2 linked regions of the Drosophila melanogaster genome follow. The protein of the gene in region 1 interacts with the protein of each later gene in a biochemical or structural test. Each region holds a gene or a part of one and is shown in the gene's direction. Other genes may lie near its edges. The genes, in order: mus101 and Top2.

The links.
Region 2: the proteins of mus101 (region 1) and Top2 form a complex in vitro, tested with the Drosophila melanogaster proteins (one study listed by BioGRID).

The regions. Positions count from the first base shown.
Region 1 is NC_004354.4:13,718,167-13,725,615, forward strand, and holds the start of mus101 (mutagen-sensitive 101), read left to right. Parts: upstream 1-4,079; 5' UTR 4,080-4,187; coding exon 4,188-7,449. Other genes in the region: Mrgn1 (mahogunin ring finger 1), read right to left, coding at 1,010-1,179, 1,245-2,185, 2,252-3,510.
Region 2 is NT_033779.5:19,449,959-19,457,407, reverse strand, and holds the start of Top2 (topoisomerase 2), read left to right. Parts: upstream 1-3,917; 5' UTR 3,918-4,157; intron 4,158-4,614; 5' UTR 4,615-4,869; intron 4,870-5,092; 5' UTR 5,093-5,122; coding exon 5,123-5,680; intron 5,681-5,737; coding exon 5,738-6,161; intron 6,162-6,227; coding exon 6,228-7,449. Other genes in the region: CG10026 (uncharacterized protein), read right to left, coding at 2-180, 240-584, 684-778, 840-999, 1,225-1,227. UniProt on the Drosophila melanogaster protein: Control of topological states of DNA by transient breakage and subsequent rejoining of DNA strands. Topoisomerase II makes double-strand breaks. Essential during mitosis and meiosis for proper segregation of daughter chromosomes.

The DNA.
Region 1 (7,449 bases):
CACAATCAATTCAATCAAAACAGCCACTTTACCACGCGAAAAACCACCGAAAAGAAATTCTTAAACGGGCGAAAGGTAAACAAATCCAATTGGACAATTCCAAGGGTGATCTCTAGTGATGGCAGCTCCTAGCGGCCTATCGACGCCTTTCGATAGTGTGGGCGCTGTTATCGATAGCGATTTGCAAAAGTTTTTTATTTAAATAATGCATTTAAAGTTGATATTTAATATGAAAATTGGAAATGACATTTTTCTTTTACGTATAAGTAAAAGTTTATAATTTCACTTTAACGCATAACGTAATATTAAAATTCGAATTTGAAAATATGTATGTTTGAATTAACTATTTAATACAAAAATGTGTTGGATTTATGGTTTTAAGACCACAATTTACTATTATTTTGTTACTGCGTACTGCCACATGTATTTAATGGCTTTAGATTAATATATTTGTTGCTAAATTACTTCATTCTTGCTAATTAATATTCACAAGTTACTCTTGATATTCAAGGAGTAATATATGTATATACCACACTGCCGCCCATTGATAGTGTAACTAATTTAGTTCGAATTATACTGTGGAATGTAGCGCCCTAGGCGCCGTTGTTTATTGGATTTATTTTATTTGTTATATACCCAAGCCATTATACTAGATTAAACTACATACACACACATGCATGTGGGACGTGTGTCTTTTCGTGTCTGTGGTGTTAGTGTTTGTATGTATGTATATACTGTGTATACTGGTTAAGTGTTGCGTCCTGGTAGCCTTATTCCTTGCTCCTCCTCCGTTCCATCCTTATCCGTATTATCATTATCATCATCATCATCATCATCATCATTAGCATTACCATTAATATTAATATTAATATAATCCTCAAAATATTTGTTCCTGCGAGCGGGGAAGCAGCATTGATTTAACTAAATCTAGGTGAACTCCGAATAAATAGTATAAACGCAAAGCTAAAACGAGAAAACGAATTTCCGCGAAATTCAACCGAGACCGGCTCTAAACATTGACGGCATTCTGCAGAGCTGTCTTGTCATCTACGATAATATTGGCCGCCGTAGTGGTCGGATTGGAGCTGAGCAGCTGCTTGGTGGACGAACTGGAGGAGTAGCTATCACTGGAGCTGCGCGTCGAGGCCGAGTTGCCGCTGATTGGGCTGTCCAACATGTCTGGATGGCAGTAAGATATATGTTTTAATCATGTGACAATTGGAAACCGAATCAGAAACACCAACCTGGCAGGGAGCTTACGTTGTTGGACTTCAAGTCCACAACCGTTGTCACCGATCCGGAGCCCACCATGTTGCCCACCGATGTGGACTTTTTGTGCAGGTTCTTCTTAACTGCACTACTGAAACCCACAACGACGGGTCCCACTCCAGCTTGTCCGCCCACTGATCCTGCGCTCCTGCCCACGCTGAGACCGCCATTGCCCAGACTGCCGGCGCCAAGGGGATCACCGCTTTTGGCTCGCTCCGTGGGGCACAGTGGGCTTAATATCGAATTCTGAGTATCCTCCGGCGTGTAGTAATCCGAATCCTCGGCCGTGGCCTCGGCGGGTGAGGGTGCACCGCTTCCGCTAAGTTCTGGTCTCGGTTTGGTGCGCTTTATCGACGAACCCTTCTTTAGGCTGGACTCCTCGGTCGGCCCATCACCAGTGCTGCTCTTATTATCGACATCATCATCCGCTTCCAGGCAGGCCACCACCTGCTTCAGCGATTTGCTAGAAACGTTCTTGCTCTTGCTGCCGGGTGATAGCAGAGGCGATAGCTTCTCGTTCTCACTGTCCACATCGTCATCGGTACCCGCGGAGCCATCGCCACCGGAACCGGCTGTGGATCTGGGATACTTTCGTTCGTTAACAATCTGCAGCTTGTCCTGTTTCGGTTCCGGCGAAGTGGATGCCCCCAATGTTGGCGAAGTACAGGTGGCCGTGCTGGACTTCTTCGGATCGCTTTCAATCTCCACAGAGTGTGTGGATGACCCATTGCCGCCGCCCGATTGATTGGTAATGGTGCCCACCTCACTGGTCGACGTGCACGTCGAAGCGTTTTTCTTGATCTTCGGTCGACGCTGGCTGCTGGACTTGATCGGCGATGTGGCCTTGATGTCAGCACTGGTCATTGTCGAAGCGGCCACGGTGGCAGCTGAGTCCGTGACATCGTGTTCGCTGTTCCTGAATTTTGGAAAAAAAGGCATCAGCTACGTAAGATTTATCGGTTAATTCCATTCCATAACTCACCTAGCCCTGGCCACATACTGTGGCGGTCCGTTGAGTGCCTCAATTAGTGAGACTGGAATATAGCCTGGCGGAACATCCACTGGCGCCGGCTCCCCGGCCGCCGATGTGGGCGTGTTCTGGTGCAGTACATGCGTGCTAATTCCCTTCTGGACAGCACGGATCTGAAGCAACGCCCGAAACGGAGCGCGACAAATGGGACAATTGTTGGCCTGATAGCGCAGCGAATCCGCGCATGAATTGCACAAACAGAGATGGCGGCAGGGCAGGATGAGCGTATCCCTCGTCTCACTCATGCAAATAACACACTCGCTGCCATGATCGTCGATCTCCTCGTCCAGAGACGTTTTGTTCACGGCCTTGTTCTCGATGCCATAGATCTCCTGTAGCAGGTAGCACAAGCCATCCACAAAGATCTTTTGCTTCAATGCACGCAGCACATAGCTGCCGTTTTCCGGATGATGATCGATCACACAGATGGTGGTGTGCGATTGCCGACACTCGTCGCTGCCCTCCTCCACCACACAGTGAATGGCCACGGGATACTGTTCACGGCCGGGACTATAGCCCAGTTCATCCTCGGGCATCTGCTGCGGATTGAAGACATGGCTCGGCTGCGAGAAGCACTGATTGATGCCCTTCTCGTAGTGGTACGTCTCCGAGGTGAGACCCTCGCGCGGCACCAGTGTCACGCCGCTGGGACTGACATCCTCCGAGCAGAAATAGTAAATGGTAATGGCGCACTTGGCGTCCGAGTCAAAGGTAAACTCGATGTTGTAAGAGCAGGGCGGCGGTGGGGGCGTCATATCGGCATCACCGCCACCCAAACCCATCGAGCAGAGCACATTTCCATCCACATCCTCGATGGTCACGTTGGACTTCTCCTTGTCCAGATCCAAGTCCCGATCAATCTCCTTCATCTTGGGCTTCTCGAGTACACCGCCCAGCTTCTTGTCGTTCATCGTCTTGACGAAACGCACCGACTCCTTGCGAATGTTGACCAGACTCTTCAGGGTCTTCGTCGGTTCATTGGCCTGCGGCGGGGGATACGGAAAGGCTGTGGGTCGATTGCCCAGGAAATTGAGATCCGCATTCTCGCCAAACAAGTACGATTCCGGTTGGGGCGTGTCGAAGCGCTCGCCGCCCATGATGAAGTGGGTGCCAAAGAAGTTACCCATTCTCGGTGGATACTTGTAGGCATTGTTCGTGCTCGGATCGGCCTCCTCCACCGCCGCGTTCTGTCTGCTCACAAAGTTGCCCATTTGATAGGTTGGTGCTATGGAAAACTGTGACACAGATCCAATATAGCTCTTGGCCTACGTTTTCTCTTCGCTTTGGTTTAGTTTATTATTCTATTTCAGTTGGTCACCACCACACATACAATGGCATGTTGGCATTTCACTTGTTCGGCGGAAAATGGCCGCTGTGTGTGTGTGAGTGTGCGAAAGCTGTGGTCGCCTTCAAGTGTTGGATCCTGTGTCCACAAAACTAGCAATAGTACAAGTTGGTCAATGTCTTGATTATTTCTGATTTGCCTTTCCTTTCTTCTTTCTTCCTTTCTTTTAGGGCTGAGCTGCCGTCGACGACGTGGATATCGATATTTCGCTTAATGAAATATATCGATAGCTTAAACCAAAACTGATAAATAACTGCTTATTTTCGAAATATTTTATTTATTTGATAAAAAGTAAATAAAAAATCCTTACATCTTAGAGATAAATAATTAAAATTACCCATACACATTATTTTTTAATTCGCCGTCGGCGTTGCCACATAGCTCAACTCGTAGTTGCCAACTAATCACAAGCCAGCGTTGCCAACGGTTTGAAGGCAATAACAAACGGCGCCAAAATAGCGTACGCGAAAAAAAGTGCAGTGCGAAAATCACGGCAATTTTGCAGCGCATCACGGAGCAGAGAACACACTCGCAACCGCCATCATGAGCATAAGCATGAGCATGGACGAGACCATCTGCGCGTACTTCGTGAACAATCTGAAGCCGGGCGACGGTGGCGTCCAGGAGGCCGACACACTGCAGCAATTCGAGGCGGCGCGGGAGCTACTGGGCCAACAGTTGGCGGAAACGCAGATCCGGCAAATAAAGCCAAGCGAAGGATATCCCCTGATCGCAGCCGGTAACCTTACCAAGAAGGACGTCTTTGTGCTGACCCAGTTCGAGGGCGAATTCTTCGAGCAATTGCAGCAGACGCGAGCACTAATTCTGGGGCCACCGTGCCTCATCACCTGCCTGCGGCGCAATGAACCCATTCCCGAGGGCAGCAGTGCCATCTACAGCACGGCCATGCGGGATCTGCAGGTCTCGGCCACGGGCATAACACCACAGAAGAAAGAGGAATTGAGCAGGCTCATAAACTGGATGGGCGGCATATACTTTCAAAGCTTCGGGCATCGCACCACCCACCTCATTTCGAACACCATCAAGTCCAGCAAGTACGAGCAGGCAACGCTGAACGGAGTACCCGTAATGCACGTCGACTGGGTGCAGTACGTCTGGGATCAGAGTCGTCGCAGCCAGCGCGAGGGCATCATGGCCACGGATCCTGATTTCGATAAGTATCGCCTGCCCATTTTCTTTGGTGCGAATATCACGTGCAGTGGATTGGATGTGGCGCGCAAGGATCAAGTTATGCGGCTGGTCAACGATAATGGAGGCATCTATCATCGTGCCTTTCGCTCCCAGGTGGTGGACATCGTCATCACCGAGCAAACAAAAACGGACACCGAGAAGTATAAGGCAGCCATACGCTACAAGAAGGATGTCTTGCTGCCGGAATGGATCTTCGATAGCTGCAATCGCGGCTACGCTCTGCCCACAAAGGACTATGAGGTGCGGCCTGGCAAGACGTCGTCCACACCCACCAAGACCACTCGTCCGGGCGCAGCTCCCGGTGCAGATCAAACGCACCTCTCGGATCTCTCACGTATCAGCTTCGTCTCCGGCTCGCGTCGCATGTGCAGCGATCTTAGTACCGTCAACGAATCCGTCAGCAGTGTGGGCAGCAGTTCGCCCGCCAAGCAGCTGCTCAAGCAGGCGACTAGCAGTGGCCGCAACTACCAGCAGGTGCTGGCCGAGATTGAACCGCGTCAGGCGAAAAAAGCGGGCGCCTTTCTGGATGGCTGCTGTGTGTATTTGAGTGGCTTCCGCTCAGAGGAGCGTGAGAAGCTAAACAGAGTGCTGAATACGGGCGGAGCGACCCGCTACGATGAGGCCAATGAGGGCATCTCACACATCATTGTGGGCCAACTGGATGACGCCGAATACCGACAGTGGCAGCGCGATGGTCTCATGGGTTCAGTTCATGTGGTGCGCCTAGATTGGCTGCTGGAGAGCATTCGAGCTGGTCGCGTGGTCAGTGAGTTGGTGCATCGTGTGTCGATGCCACAGAATCGAGAACCAGACGTTGCCTCTCCTGCCAGCAAGCGAACACTGCGCTCCATGAACCACAGCTTCAAGCAGCCAACATTGCCCATCAAGAAGAAGCTTTTCGATCAGGAACCGGATCCCGTGCAGGAACAGGAGCACGAGGAGCCGGATCATACGCTGCTGGATCAGTACTCACAGGATCAAGGAGCAGTGGCACAACTGCCACCGGCAGATGTTAGTCTCCTTCAACCAGCGGCAAGTTCCACCCAAATGGATATACGCCAGCGAGTCTCGGTAGCCAATCCAAAACCACCCGCTGAGGGTTTGCAATTGCCGGATCTCAGTGCCAGCACTCTATCCATTGATTTCGATAAGCTGGACTACTTCGCCGGTGTCTCTGTTTATGTGCACAGGGAGTGTTTCAACGAGGAGTTCTTCAACCAAATGCTAACCGAATGCGAAGCTGCCCAAGGCTTATTGGTGCCATCGAGTTTCTCCGATGAAGTGGATTTCGCCATTGTCAGCTTTGAGGTAGCCTTCGATGTGAAGCAATTACCCGTCAAGGCCCGCCATGTGGTCACCGAACTGTTCCTGGAAAGCTGTATGAAAAAGAATCAACTGCTGCCCATCGAATATTACCACAAACATGTGCCGGCTACCGCACTGCGTCAGCCGCTTAAGGGAATGACTATTGTCGTATCCATTTATGCAGGATTGGAGCGGGACTTTATTAATGCGACAGCAGAACTACTTGGCGCCTCCGTCAATAAGACATTCATCAAGAAGGAGAAACCGCTGCTGGTGTGTCCCAGTGCCGAGGGCTCCAAGTATGAAGGTGCCATCAAATGGAACTATCCCGTAGTCACATCCGATTGGCTGGTGCAGTGCGCCCGCACTGGTCAGAAGCTGCCCTTCGTTGGATATTTGGTGGGCAAGAGTCCCGAGGATTTCCCCATATCGCCACGCTTGCGGGACAGCAATAGCCGGACAGCAAGAAGACCGAATGAATCCACATTGGTGGCTCAACCGGATGTAACCATGGAGGAGGCCGAGAACCAACCGGCGGGATCTGTCACACCAGTTACTGCTGGCAGTCCAGGAGCTCCTGAACTGACGCCCCTGCGCAACAAGAGAGTTTCCGAGCTAGCTGGAATACCAGGAGGCAGTGCTCTTCATCGTGGCAGCAACTCCACATCTTCTCCGGACTCACCATGCACGCCACTTAGCCAGGTGGGTGCCCAGCAGTACAATCTGGACTTCCTAGAGCAATTCGTTCAACGCCTGGATACAGAAGAGGGCAAGGATTGTGTGCGCGAGATTATCCGTGAAATGCGCGAGAATCAAACGCCGGAATTGGAACGCATTCGACGGCAGGCCTGCACGCCCGTCAGTCGTAAGCATCAACGACCAGCACCGGGAATTCCAGATTTTTGTCTCACTCCCGAGTTCCAGCAGCGGATGGCCGATGATTTTGAGCGGCGCTGGCGCCTACCCACCATGAAAATCAAACCAGACACACCGTTGGCCGTCATCAGGCAGCGCGTGATGCGGATCACATGCGAAACTCTGGGCATCGAATATGAAGAAAGTAATGCTAAGACGCCAACGCTATCGGAATCGCCATCAACGGTAAAGAAGAAGCCGCCAACCAGGACGACGCAGGCCACCAAACTCAACTTTGATAGATCACCGAAAACACCGAAGCTATCGCTAGGTAAAAAGACGCCACTCCGGGTGTCCATGGGTTCACCCCGCAGCGGAACGCAATCACCCTTCGTACCGAACACACAGAGTCCAATCGAAGCAGCGCCGCCAC
Region 2 (7,449 bases), on another chromosome or scaffold:
CCGCTTGGGAAGATGTTCTGGGTTGATGTGTTTGTGCAGGGAAGTCATGTCACTGCCATGGATGTATAGCTTTTCTCGCATAGCGGCGTTGAGGAAAGGTTTAAATATCTTGAATGCCGCGTTGAAGACCCAATTCTGATTTACAATATGAAGGGCGGATGTTCTAATGGGCATGGAGGTCTGCAAGCCAAGTGTAGGTTAAAAAAGCTATTGAAAATAATAAAAAGTAGTTATCCTACCACTAGTAGAGCAATCATCTTCTGAGCCACGCTGGGACTCAGGTGGAGTATGTGTTCCAAGCCCAGGTCCTTCAGATCGAATATTCCCACTCCTCCGACAATCTGTGAGATGGGTTCCAGGCTGCCCAGTTCCTGCAGGACAATGGTGGCGCGAAATATATCGTCGACGGTTACTTGATTGGGTCGCCACAGTCCGAATCGGTAGATGAGTATCCTATGGCCATGTTGATCCCGATAGGGAGTCACTGTCAGGATGTCCGATTGCCCAACATGTCTCAGGTCCAGAGGACGAACCTTCTCATAAAAGCTTTTGTTCTGCTCCCGAAACCTGTAGTAACTGCAGAGCTGAAAGGGAATGAGTTATTGCATTTACCTAATAGATAATTATCAAATAGTCACTTGCTGTTGGCAAACTAAAATGAAGATTTCCCCAAGTTTTCTTACCAATTTGTAACTGTTCTCGATTTTCCAGTAGCGGGCTCTTAGGAATTTCTCCAGGTACTTCGCATCACTTCTGTGTGGTTGGCATTCATTATGTTCTGGAGAGGTTTTGTTCAGATGAATACCTTTGTACCTCTTAGACAACGGACTATAACCAACCTAGTATGTAGTTACGGAATTGTTCGATGACCTTATCCTTGGAACTGGGACACTCTCCCTGCTCCTGGGCAAGTCGGCGGATGTGCTCCGGAACCTCCTCCTCGGTGATGTTTAGCTTGTGCTCGATGGTGGGCATGGTGCGGCATCCACTGCTGGTCGTCTAAAAAAAGCCCAAACTATAGATACAATGTGGCCATAAGGGGGTGGTGCATTGATAAGCGCTTTTCACTCGCGCAAAATGTAAATAAAAATAAATCCAGTTGAGAATAGCGCAATATGACTGTTCCCGATTGTTTCGTTGTTAGCAACATTTCGCCACCCGTATTGACATTTAAATTTCAGAGAGATTTGGCATGTCACTGCTGGATGAATTTCTCGTTGTTACCATTTATGGGCTGTGATCCGCTCGACTCCAAGTGTGAAACTGAGCCCCCGATCGGAACCAGAATCGGGCCAAGTGGTGACAGTCCCAGGCGAAATGCTGTTTTACTTGTCGCTAAACATGTACGAGTGTGTATGCGACCATTAAATATTAACTAGAAACCGAACAACAATGAACATTGCGATAGCGCGAAGGAGACAGCCGATGAGTGATAACAGTGTGTCACTGAGCTCGAGCTAAATTTAGTGAATCTGCTGTACTTAATTGATGGAGCGGGAATCCACAAGAATTATAAACAATATAGTATAAGTAAAGTGTTGTGCAATTACTCAGTTTTGGCTGCACTTAGTTTTTAGAAACATTGCCTTTGGGTTGGTTGTTTCCAGCAATCAATACATTAGGTAGGTACACTTTCAAAACAATGTATGCAAAATGAAATCATTAAAATTTTTAAAATCATTTAAAATATATTAATATAATATAATAATATATATATATATAATATAAATATATACTAATTGGGGGTTAGTACCGATTGTTACATTGCTAGCTTAATCTTGGAATTGCATAGTGTTCAGCATCAGCCCCAAAATATGTGCTCTTGTTAGGTGTACCTCGACCTGGCCTTGGCCGGATTTCCCAATTCCTATCCCTACACCCCAAAACGCAGAGCCAGACCCAAACTTGCCCCCAGTGAACCCCGCGATTGTAGAGGAGCCACTGCCTGATAAGGCATTATCCGCCGCGTTCCCAGTTCGCCAATGGCTAATCGGGTCGCTTGGGGTCTGTGCGGTGCAGCGTTGTGTGAGTTCGACGCGTATTTGGCAGATACTGTGAGATGATGCCACCGCGATCTCAAAGTGCAGCACACACAAATTTCACACGTGGTGGCCGTGCAAAGTGCCTGGGTCAATATTTAATCATATTCAACAAATTCCAACTAATTACACATTATGCACTTTTAAGTACGCCTGATTGCAGTGCTTAAGTCCCAGCACATACATACTCGTAGTTCGGTTCAAGTGTTAATGAACTCGCCATTGTTGTCGTTAATTGTCTACATGGATTTGATAATCCCAAGATAATCACAATAATAGTGCCCCCCATTAGGGTGTTTGATAATAAGCGATTATTTCACAGCCCCACCTGCACCTTTAAACACCTGTTTAAATCGCCCCATTAGCTCGGGGTCTTCACTTTCATTACCAGGTAATAATCCAATCCGAGTGGCGGTTACTGTTTCTGGTCACGGTTTCTATTTTTTCCAGCTTGCAGTACGGGGAATCCGACTTAACGAAGATCGCACACAAGTGGCATCGCAGAAGCTTGGAATGAAACTGAGCTGGGGATCGCTTAGAACAGAAGATTTTATGAACACAAGTCTCAATGGAAAAAGTCGAGAAAAAGCGCAGCACTTATGACTATAAACCAGTATGCGAGAACGAGAAACCAGCATCTGAAAATAGGGAGAGCCAGCTCGATGAAACGACGATGCAAACACCCTTAAAAACGCAATTAAGTAAAATTTGTTGATTAACAATACATATACATACAATTTATTCAAAAAAAAAAAAAAGAAACTAATTGCTAATTGTAGTACTTATGTTTATCTTTTTATCTTACCAAATCTTAGGAGTTTTAGCTCACATCTTGTTCAACTTGCTAATAGTATCCTGGAATAAACTGCACTTAACTCCGCTAGTTCACAATTTTCCCATGCATCAGCTGAAATTCCCAATTTGGCAGGGTACAAACTGCACTCCGCATATTGAGAGATCTTTGCTGATGCTTGTCAAACGAGAATCAACAGATTTGGAGGAGTAGAGAATATTTCTGGACGATATTCGATGCTGTGCAAGTTCAATGAGCTCCGGTGACGTCACTGCGTGAAGGGTTCTCCATTACCCAAGCAGAAATTCCGAGTAACTCGGATGAATCCAGAATCTTTATATTTTGTTTGCACTATTCAAAACATGTTTCTGAGCCGGAATGAAAATCGCAACGGGATGGGGAGGGACATGCCCCTTTATGACGTCGTGTTGGGCAAGGTCAGGCAAAATGGCAGAAAGAAAACCAGTTCTCTTGTAGCCATGGTCTTGGCTTTGGAATATTCATATTACCAGGTGGTTAATTGAAAAGCAATCTTCACTTCAACGGTGCGAAATTTAATTGCACAAATGCAACTTTAGCAGCAATTTTTCATTTCATTTCATTTTAAGTAATTGCTGTATATCACATTGATGTGGGATACAATACTAAGCATATGAAAGGATAAATTTCTTAATGGTTTTACTTTGTCTTAAATTTTTGATAATTTGCATTTAGATCGAAATATTTTATCTTTTTTACATTTATTTCAATGCCGATTTATAATGTAAAAAATAGAAGAAATGTTAGTTGGAATAATTAAAACCCCTACTTTCGACTCGAAAAAGAATTTAACCCCAAAAATGTTATTATTATTTATTACCTTCGAATTTTTTAGAATTAACTGTTGCTTAACTCATCACGTGATTGAGATAGAACTAAAAAACCGTGATTTTGGCGATCACGCTTTTAGCGGAGTCACCGACCGCAGTTACTAGTTTAGCCCTGTTCACAATGAGCGTATGCACCAACCCAAACAACACTGTTATGGGACTTATCGATAGCGATTTCATTCAAACATCGATTTGTGCGCCTTGCCAGCTCTAAAACCAGCAATACTTCTCATTTGTTGTCGGTTGTGAAAAGTTGTTAAATGTGCTGTGCGTATTTTAATAGTTAGTTGAGAACTGTACAAGTTTTAGCTAAAGGCAGCAGACGCGTGGGGCACGTACAAGTCGAAAATTGTAGTGCACCGCCTCGTGTATCGCCTGCAACATAGAGTTTTGCCGCACTTCGGTTGTCGGCGGCAGCAAGAAAAGGCCACAAATACTTGGCAATTTTTTAACCAGGTAAGCAGAAAGTGCTGAATCATAATCGTAGAATTGGCTGTACCGTAGAACCTAAGAGCCCTGTCTAATTAATCCTTTAATATGATGGATATAGCAATTTTTCGGTGGCGTCGCTTGCAAATTAAAAATGGCGATACCGGTATAGACATTTAGCTAATTTTGGGCCTTTAAAAACCATAGTTTTTTGATTTTGTAGCGCGGAGCGCGTATGTAGGCCTGAATTTGTTTACTATAAAGTGAAACCCCTCGAAGAACCTTAATAAGAAATAATAAATAGCGGTGACTACCGGCAAACGCCAATAAACACGCACACTCACGCAACAGACGGCGCACGCCAAGCGTTGCCGCCAAAGAGACAGGGCTGTTATGTATTTCAAAGTGTGCTGAAAATCTGTTCCCAGTACAGTAGCACCAGGCAAAATAATACTTAGTTTGACGTTTTTCAATTTATCTGCAGTTATTTCTGTTTGACGTACCCAACCATTTCCCATGTTGGCCAAGTCCCATTCCATTGCAGCGTTTGTCTGGACGGCATTTACGCAATGCGCGGGCGCGCGTTTTGTTTTTTTTTTTCACCGTGGGTACAGTGCGCATTCATTAATAAAAAATTGTTGAACAGCAGCATCAGCAGCATTGGCATCACATGCCAACGCACAACCATCCCCGTTATTAAGAGGCCATTAAACATATTGGGTGCCATCTATCTTATTTGGTATTATAACAATTAAAAAAAAAACGTGAACATAATATTACTAATATACTAATAGCAACTGTTAACTGGGTGGGTACTGTAGTCTTCTGCTAGTAGCTTTGGTTTTTTTTTTACTTAGTAGAACGCAGGACGAGTGATTAATAGTAGCTAAGGCAATGGCTCGGAATATTAGTTATTAATATTAATATTACATTAACAAATGCCTTTTGCTTACTCTTTGAAGATTCAGCTAAAGCACAGCGACAGAAGCATCATGGAGAACGGAAACAAGGCCCTGTCCATCGAACAGATGTACCAGAAGAAGTCGCAGCTGGAGCACATCCTGCTGCGACCCGACTCGTACATCGGATCCGTGGAGTTCACCAAGGAGCTGATGTGGGTGTATGACAACTCCCAAAACCGCATGGTGCAGAAGGAGATCTCTTTCGTGCCCGGCCTCTACAAGATATTCGACGAGATTCTTGTGAATGCGGCAGATAACAAGCAGCGAGACAAGAGCATGAACACCATTAAGATCGACATCGATCCGGAGCGCAATATGGTGTCCGTGTGGAACAACGGCCAGGGCATTCCGGTGACCATGCACAAGGAGCAGAAGATGTACGTTCCAACGATGATCTTTGGTCATCTGCTGACCTCGTCGAACTACAACGACGATGAGAAGAAGGTCACTGGCGGCAGGAACGGATACGGAGCGAAGCTCTGCAACATATTCTCCACCAGCTTCACCGTTGAGACTGCCACGAGGGAATACAAGAAAAGTTTCAAGCAGACTTGGGGAAACAACATGGGAAAAGCCTCCGATGTGCAGGTAAGGAAATAACATTTCTTATTTTAGACCATCATCTAATGTTCAGTAAACCCACAGATCAAGGACTTCAATGGCACTGACTACACACGCATCACATTCAGTCCCGATCTGGCCAAGTTCAAGATGGACCGTCTCGATGAAGATATTGTGGCTCTAATGTCGCGTCGCGCCTACGATGTGGCCGCCTCATCCAAGGGAGTATCCGTCTTCTTAAACGGCAACAAACTGGGTGTACGCAACTTCAAGGACTATATTGATTTGCACATCAAGAACACGGACGACGATTCTGGCCCACCGATCAAGATAGTCCACGAGGTTGCCAACGAGCGTTGGGAGGTGGCTTGCTGTCCTTCAGATCGAGGCTTCCAACAGGTCTCGTTTGTCAACTCGATAGCTACCTACAAGGGCGGTCGGCATGTGGACCATGTGGTAGACAATCTCATTAAGCAGCTGCTCGAGGTTCTGAAGAAAAAGAACAAAGGTACGTTTAACTTAAAATGTGTATTTTCTTAAACAACAACTAATATTTGCTTTGAACCTCTTCCAGGTGGCATCAACATCAAGCCATTCCAGGTCCGAAACCATCTGTGGGTTTTTGTCAACTGCTTGATAGAGAACCCCACTTTCGACTCGCAGACCAAGGAGAACATGACTCTGCAACAAAAGGGCTTCGGTTCCAAGTGTACCCTCTCGGAAAAGTTCATCAACAACATGTCCAAGTCTGGCATCGTGGAGTCTGTGCTGGCATGGGCCAAGTTCAAGGCCCAAAATGACATTGCCAAGACGGGCGGTCGCAAGTCAAGCAAGATCAAGGGCATTCCCAAGCTGGAGGACGCTAACGAGGCGGGTGGAAAGAACTCGATTAAATGCACCCTCATCCTCACCGAGGGAGACTCAGCCAAGTCATTGGCCGTATCCGGTTTGGGCGTGATCGGACGAGATCTCTACGGCGTGTTCCCGCTTAGGGGTAAACTTCTAAATGTGCGGGAAGCTAATTTCAAGCAGCTTTCGGAGAATGCCGAAATCAACAATTTATGCAAGATAATTGGCTTGCAATACAAAAAGAAGTACCTCACTGAGGACGATCTAAAAACTCTGCGCTATGGCAAAGTGATGATCATGACAGATCAGGATCAGGATGGCTCCCACATCAAGGGTCTCTTGATCAACTTTATCCACACCAATTGGCCAGAGCTTCTGCGTCTGCCCTTCCTCGAGGAGTTCATTACACCAATTGTGAAGGCAACCAAGAAAAACGAGGAGCTGTCATTCTACTCGCTACCCGAATTCGAGGAGTGGAAAAATGATACAGCTAATCACCATACGTACAATATAAAGTACTATAAGGGTTTGGGTACTTCGACCTCCAAGGAGGCGAAAGAGTATTTTCAAGACATGGATCGCCATCGCATCTTATTTAAGTACGATGGATCGGTGGATGATGAGAGCATTGTTATGGCCTTCTCCAAGAAGCACATCGAGTCGCGAAAGGTATGGCTTACCAACCACATGGACGAGGTGAAGCGTCGCAAGGAGCTCGGTTTGCCAGAGCGATATCTCTACACCAAGGGCACCAAGAGCATCACCTATGCAGACTTTATCAATCTGGAGTTGGTGCTGTTCTCGAATGCTGACAATGAGCGCTCCATTCCTAGTCTGGTGGATGGCTTGAAGCCGGGTCAGCGGAAGGTGATGTTCACTTGCTTCAAGAGGAATGACAAGCGTGAGGTGAAGGTGGCCCAGCTATCCGGATCAGTGGCGGAGATGTC